Arabidopsis thaliana: one gene and its partner. The protein of the gene in region 1 interacts with the protein of each later gene in a pairwise test. Each region holds a gene or a part of one and is shown on either strand. Other genes may lie near its edges. The genes, in order: UBP16 and HIPP27.

Evidence for each region.
Region 2: the proteins of UBP16 (region 1) and HIPP27 interact in a two-hybrid assay, tested with the Arabidopsis thaliana proteins (one study listed by BioGRID).

The regions. Positions count from the first base shown.
Region 1 is NC_003075.7:12,682,940-12,686,865, forward strand, and holds the start of UBP16 (ubiquitin-specific protease 16), read right to left. Parts: upstream 2,038-3,926; 5' UTR 1,590-2,037; coding exon 1,309-1,589; intron 885-1,308; coding exon 1-884. Other genes in the region: DIC2 (dicarboxylate carrier 2), read left to right, coding at 3,607-3,926. UniProt on the Arabidopsis thaliana protein: Recognizes and hydrolyzes the peptide bond at the C-terminal Gly of ubiquitin. Involved in the processing of poly-ubiquitin precursors as well as that of ubiquitinated proteins.
Region 2 is NC_003076.8:26,428,338-26,431,851, forward strand, and holds HIPP27 (Heavy metal transport/detoxification superfamily protein), read left to right. Parts: upstream 1-1,864; 5' UTR 1,865-1,907; coding exon 1,908-1,964; exon of another isoform or gene 1,965-2,054; coding exon 2,055-2,441; 3' UTR 2,442-3,014; downstream 3,015-3,514. Other genes in the region: LARP1b (winged-helix DNA-binding transcription factor family protein), read left to right, coding at 1-425, 503-647, 780-870, 1,083-1,154, 1,280-1,435; AT5G66120 (3-dehydroquinate synthase), read right to left, coding at 3,179-3,310, 3,413-3,514. UniProt on the Arabidopsis thaliana protein: Heavy-metal-binding protein. Binds cadmium. May be involved in cadmium transport and play a role in cadmium detoxification.

The DNA of each region.
Region 1 (3,926 bases):
TAGCATTTCTTTCTCTTAAGTTTACTCCATCAGATATATAACCAGTCCCCCTAGGAGCTTCTTTTAAAATGCTACTCCTCTGCTCAGAAACTTTAGCAGCTGAGGTGTCTCTAGAGGAGCCAGAGCCAAAGGAGAAATGCAGAGAGGAGTTACCAGGTCTACCAGATTTAGATTTAACACAAGAATCACTCACACGTTCGGCTGATCCAAGAGCCGTACCCCAAAAATCAGATGACTTCAGAGATGGGTCAGCTGATACTGGATGCCTATCCGTAACTAATGAGTGTAAGCTCCTTGATTGGCTCTGGTTCTGCCCAGCATCATCCTCAGGTTTATGTACACTTAATTTAGGCAGATTAGCGAGATTATCTACAGATTCAACCAAGTGCACAAATTTTGGAGACAACAGTTTGGATGGAGCATCTTCAATGGTGCTGAAACAGGTGTCTTCTGGCTCTACAGAGACATGAGCATCAAGTAGGGACTCTGATCTCTCGGATTCAGATGAACTGAAGCTCTCACAACGAGAAATCTCGTCGCCAGAGTCATTACGGGGGGAGGAGGAGAAGCCAGAAAACGAGGATCCAGATGTTTCAGCAACAGAAACAGCTTCTTCCTTATCTATAAGGTCATCTTTGTTATCTGCAATATCTCCATTCCCATCTTCAGGAGATCTGGCACGATTAGATAATAGTGATTCCCCGATTGGTATAGTAACTGGTTCTGGACCCACCAGTAAAGTTTCCTCAGGAGTATTTTGTCCATTTTCTTCTCCTAATCTCAAATCGGAATCACTCTCATCTTCACTATCATATACAATGGAAGCAGGATGACATTCATCTTTGTGACCTTGCCGCCAGTGAATGATTTGACATTTCCCGGAACTGGAAAAAAAATAACAAAAACGAAACAACTATCACTAAGATATGTAGGTAACGAAATTTCACATGCGCTAAGGGGAAAAGGTTGAAAATTTGATAGACATTATAGTACATTTCTTAAGCTATCTAATTGAAATAAATTCCTCAGCAGCACATAGTTAGTTACTCACAGATAAGCCATGAATCAAATACTAAACTTCCTCCCAAGCTAACTAATTACCCATAATTTTGTTAACATAGAAAAAGAAGTCAATTTTCTTAAATCTCTGATCCAGTATCGCTAAAGTTACAGAACTAACTTATATTCTTTGCCTACTAATCACTCCAATTCATCACGTCTCAGCAGAGAGTGCAGCAGATGCAATCATAACTCTAAGATCATACAACGTAATTTGGACATGGAGAAAGTGAGAGAATTTTTGCATACCAATATCGAACGGCTTTGCAGCGAGAGCAACGAGTCGTGGCAAGACAATAGCAAACAGGACAATGGAAGACATTAGAGACGGCAACAGAAGAGAACTCAACAGAGGCCTCTAGCTCAGCCCTGGCAGCCTCTTCAGAAGCATGAATAAGAAGTCTTCTAATCTCCTCCCTTCTTTGGGCAGCGACCCTCCATTTGTGACGAACAAAGAGACCGATCAAAGGTAAAACAAGAGAGACCACAAGGACTAGACTAGAAATCCCTAGATCCAAAACAAGGAGCATTTATCCTCCACCAGATGCACAAACAATTGGAAATAAATCTGAGCACCAACCATAGATTTCACCGGCGAATAAGCCGGGAACAGAGGTGACAGTGAGGATCAGTCCGGCGATTTAGCACATGCAGAGAGAGCGAGAGAGAGAAGCCAGGAATCGATGGAAGTTATAATTTTTTCGCTGGTGGGTAAGCTTCCAAAATGATGACCCAAGAAAATCCAAAGATGAGAAGGAATAAAGAAAACCCTAGAGAGCACAAGTTGGGTTTTCTATTGTTCTCTGGGAAAAAGTTGAAAAAATCTGGTGCTTCTGGTTTAGGGTTTCGAAAGAGGGCAAGAGTGGAGAGATTCTTCGGTAGAAGGACGAAGAAATTAGGAGGCAGTATATTACTTTTCTATACCAAGACGCTTTGCTTTTTCATTTTACCAGACCAGACAACCTTTTTTTTTTTTTGCTCTAACGTCATTTGGAAATCATATTTTTATTACCAGGAAGCCCTTCTTTTAAAAACAAAATAAGAATAATAGTTCAACGGAAATATGAATTTGCATGTTGACAATGATAAAAAGTTATGAATTAGTCAATTAAAAAAGTGTGTAAGTTATGTATTAGTCAATTAAAAAAGTGTGTATGATGGGATATTGTAGCTATCTATTATATATGTATATTTAGTGCCATTTTCGTGTCACACCATGTCTTCATTTTTATTTTTCTTTACCATGTGTTATACTTTTTTGTTATAAAAAGTTGATATATATATATTATCGCTTAACTTTTTTTAAGTAACTATAAAATGGGTATCATATATAACAAACATATATAAGTATTTTGCAATTTATGCGATATATAAAAATAAAATAAAATAAATCTACACGATTCTATATGTTATATTATAAAGATCACGCCATATTATTCTATCTATAAGAATACAACGTACGGGATTATATATGATAGACGATTGTATTTGCGGGACATTGAGATGTTTCCGAAAATAGTCATCAAATATCAAACCAGAATTTGATGTGAAAACACTAATTAAAACATATAATTGACAACTAGACTATATCATTTGTTAAGTTGAGCGTTGAAAGAAAATGAAAGAGTGTAGACTGTAGTATGTATGAGTTTCCCAAAGGATGGTGCTTGAATATTATTGGGAAGAGACTTTGGTTGGTTCGGTTGAATGAAGATTTTTACCTGCCATGTTGATAGAGAAAGGCAAATAAATGTAGGGGTCGATGTCTAACGTAAAGACTGGATCAACCAAGAGTCCTCCTCCTCGTCTTCACCAAAAAAAAAGAGTCCTCCTCGTGGAAACTTATTTCTTCTCCAGCCAAGATCTCATCTCATCTCTTCACTCTATGAAATATAAAGGAATCTTATGGTTTTTCTAAAAACTATAGTACGTCTATATACCAAAGGAAACAATATAAAATCAGTTAATCTGATAAATTTTGAGTAAATAATAAAGTTAACTTTGTACTTACCTATATCAAACTAATTCACAAAATAAAGTAATAATAACAAAGAATTTTTAGTAGATCCACAATATACACACACACTATGAGAAATCATAATAGAGAATTTTAATGATTTTGTCTAACTCATAGCAACAAGTCGCTTTGGCCGAGTGGTTAAGGCGTGTGCCTGCTAAGTACATGGGCTCTGCCCGCGAGAGTTCGAATCTCTCAGGCGACGTTTCTTTTGTTTTCGGCCATAAAGGAAAAAGCCCAATTAACACGTCTCGCTTATAAGCCCATAAAGCAAACAATGGGCTGTCTCTGTCTCACTCACACACGCGTTTTCCTACTTTTTGACTATTTTTATAACCGGCGGGTCTGACTTAATTAGGGTTTTCTTTAATAATCAGACACTCTCTCACTCGTTTCGTCAACATTGAACACAGACAAAACCGCGTCACAAAACAAAACTCGCTACAAATAAATACCTTTGTTTCCCTCTTCTTCTCCTTCACTCACAACATCTCAATTTCATTCTCTCTTCTCTCTCCAATTTCACAACAATGGGAGTCAAAAGTTTCGTTGAAGGTGGGATTGCCTCTGTAATCGCCGGTTGCTCTACTCACCCTCTCGATCTAATCAAGGTTCGTCTTCAGCTTCACGGTGAAGCACCTTCCACCACCACCGTCACTCTCCTCCGTCCAGCTCTCGCTTTCCCCAATTCTTCTCCTGCAGCTTTCCTGGAAACGACTTCTTCAGTCCCCAAAGTAGGACCGATCTCACTCGGAATCAACATAGTCAAATCGGAAGGCGCCGCCGCGTTATTCTCAGGAGTCTCCGCTACACTTCTCCGTCAGACGTTATATTCCACCACCAGGATGGG
Region 2 (3,514 bases), on another chromosome or scaffold:
CAGTGCTGTTAATAATAGCCAGAGGAAACCTTTTAGACGGAATAACAACACATCATCTTCCAGTACCAGTAGTAACGTCTCCAATGCTGCGCCTTTAAACACCAGAGATCAGAATCACAGCCAAAGGGGTGGTGGCTCTTTTGGTTCAGGGAATTTCCGTAATTCTCAGAGGAATCGCAACAGCAGCTCTTACCCTCGTGGGGAAGGTCTTCACCATGGAAACAGGCGCAATTATGAGCATGGCAACCAAAGCGGCTTTTCTCACCGTAACTATAGTGGGAGAGACATGCACTTGCAACCGCAGAGGGGTGTTGGGATGATTAGACCGCAGATGCTGATGGGGCCACCATCTTTTCCTGCCAGTAGTGCGCAATATATGGCAGCGCCTCAATTAGGTTCATATGGTGGCCCCATTATCTACCCAGGTATGGTTTTGCTCATCTTATGCTCTCTCATACATTCCCATTTCTAATTCATTCATTCTGCTATGTTACATCTTCAGATTATGCACAGCATGTCTTTATGCCACATCCATCTCCAGATCCGATGGGTTTAGTTGGACCCTTCCCACTTCAACCCATGTATTTTCGCAATTTTGATGCCATCTTGTACAATAAGATATTGACACAAGTAGAATATTATTTCAGGTAATCGTTTCAGTTTTATTTGGTTGTGTTTGCACTTTTCTACTTGTTTATGGGTTACCCCAATGCTCCATTAGATGCATCTATCAGAAGTGTGAATTACAAATTTTATCCTTTGTTAATTTTTAAACGCAGCGCTGATAACCTGAGCAGAGATGAACATTTACGGGATCAGATGAATGATGAAGGTTGGGTTCCTGTTAGAGTAATAGCAGCATTCAGGAGAGTAAGTGGTTTTCCATCTTCTATTCTGAAGCTGACATGCGTTAATCACTTTACAATGTCTACTGCAGAAAGTATTTCTTATTGTATCAAGGTGTTACTTATATTAGTTGTGTTTGTTTGTTTACGTGACCTTGGAAGTAGTAGTCTTAGTTTAGTAAGTGTATTGGTGGTAAAAAAAAGAGTAATTCTTTGAAATTTTTGCAACTTTTGCAGCTTGCGGAACTGACCAATAACATCCAGACTATATTGGAAGCACTGAGAAGTTCAGAAGTCGTGGAAATTCAGGTATGTAAGATGAGCATCCTTGTCTCTCATTCATTGATGGATATAAGATAAGAAGTAAAGTGGAAAGGTGTAAAGATAAAAAAAGGCATAGAAAGACTAAAGGTAGAATGTGGATGGGATTGTAGGGTGAAACATTAAGGAGGCGAGGAGATTGGGACAAGTATTTATTGCCTCGTGAGCCTTCAAGGTCCGGTCCAGCTGCGGGGGCTAGCAACAATGCCTCACTGGTGTCTCAAATTGAGAGCATGACTCTATCAGAGAGGAGCAGAGAGGGAGTGTAAGAGAGATGCTACTAAGAGAGAGAAAGAAAGATGTGTTTGCAAGCCTATCTCTCTTCCTTTCCTTTTTTGTGTTTTGTCGAGAATTGGATATGAACTGATTGATACTCAGTCTCATAAGAAAAAAAACAATAATATGCTGCTCAACTTTTTTTGAACTTTTCTGGTTTTTAAAATTTTTTTGGATAGGAAACTTTAATAGTTGGTGTTTGGCTGATCATTGATTTAGTCATCCTTGTTAAGAAAATGTAATATCTGAAGATACCCGCCACTCGGCAGAGAGGGTTTCACGTCAAACCATATCCGAAATACTAGAGAGCTCTAAATTGAAAACAGCTGGCTATCTCAGCAGTGACATACCATTCCTTCACTCGTCCACGTGCAAAGTGGGCATGTTGGCTTTACTTTATGTATGCTTTAATAAGACAATTTGAAGTTACCAGAGAAGGAAAAAAAACTGTCGTAATCGGCGCTAATGGGCTTCCGAGACATTTGTTACCGGAAACATCACAAAAAGCTTAAGCAGTTCCAGGCACTCTTCTCCCTTCTCTGATATATCTGATTCCTTTTTTTTGCTTGTAACTGTTGTGTAACGAGACTGTGTTTCGTATGATGAAAAAAGAAGGTGGAGATAAAAGTGAAGATGGACTGCGAAGGGTGCGAGAGACGGGTGAGGAAGTCGGTGGAAGGCATGAAAGGAGTCAGCAAAGTCACCGTCGATCCTAAACAGAGCAAACTCACGGTCGAGGGATTCGTCCAACCGAGCAAGGTGGTGCATCGGGTGATGCATCGGACAGGGAAGAAGGCGGAGCTGTGGCCTTACGTACCTTACGAGGTGGTGCCACACCCTTACGCACCTGGTGCCTACGACAAGAAGGCCCCTCCTGGTTACGTTCGTAATGCACTCGCCGACCCTCTAGTGGCCCCGCTTGCTCGTGCCAGCTCCTTCGAGGTCAAATACACTTCTGCTTTCAGCGATGACAATCCCAACGCTTGTACCATCATGTGATCAATTCATATATATAGTTAACTACACATGTGACTATGTAAGTGTTTTTAGATACCCTTTTTAAGTAATTCTGAAAAGACAGTCTGAATGTTTGTACGAGTCATCATCTAAATTCCACTGAAATTAAAAGGGAGAAACAGAAGAAGAGAGAGGTGAGTAGATGGAGGAGTAACAAGAGAAAGAAGAGAGAAAGGTGAGAAGCCATGAATAGACTGATTAGGCAAGCCATGACCCAAACAGGGTATATCAGAAGCAGTGTGTAACAGATGACGACAAGGCAGTAGCAGACGAGACTCGCCACTTTCTCGATAGCTTCTCCCACCGGCATCTTGATTTGCGTATTTGCTACTCCTCTGGATTACATGACTTCATTTAAATAAATAGTAAGAAACACACACAGTCTTTGGAGAAATACATGCACCAGAAGTTGTTTCCTCTCTAAACGGGACAATGCATCCCGCATTTCAGCCCTTCCTCTGTTTCTTCTTTTTCCCCTCTGTTTTTGCCTCTTCACTGTGTTTACATAACAGAAACGTGCTTTGTCATAAAGCTCAAGTAACAATTTCAAGAGGCAAGTATCCAAATTGAAACGCATATGGTGTCCAATAACGGGGTATTTCTTCTTTTAATATCTCATTATTATCACATTCCACAAAGCTAGTTACAAGGTCAGTATATATGAGTACATATGCGTATGTGAACAAAACAACACCAAAATTATCTCAAATATGAAATGCTCAGGATTTGGAGAATGCACGAAGCGTGGCATCCAACGCTTCCCGATCATAATCTCCAGTGAACACGCAGTTTCCCAGCGGGCCTTTGAGAAGAATCAGCCTCAGCAGTCCATCTGCCACTTTCTTGTCCACCTGCATCACCACACACATTTCAATGAATTTTTCTTAGCTCAAAAGTTGCTCAAAAGTTACCAACTTTTTTCCATTTACATCTGGAATTCACTAAAAACTCACCGCCATTATGGACTTGAACATGCTGACGGTCATGCTCTCTGGCGGAGTTGTAGGCAATTTCGCCCGTACTAGGATCTTGTTCACTCTCTTAACAATCGATTC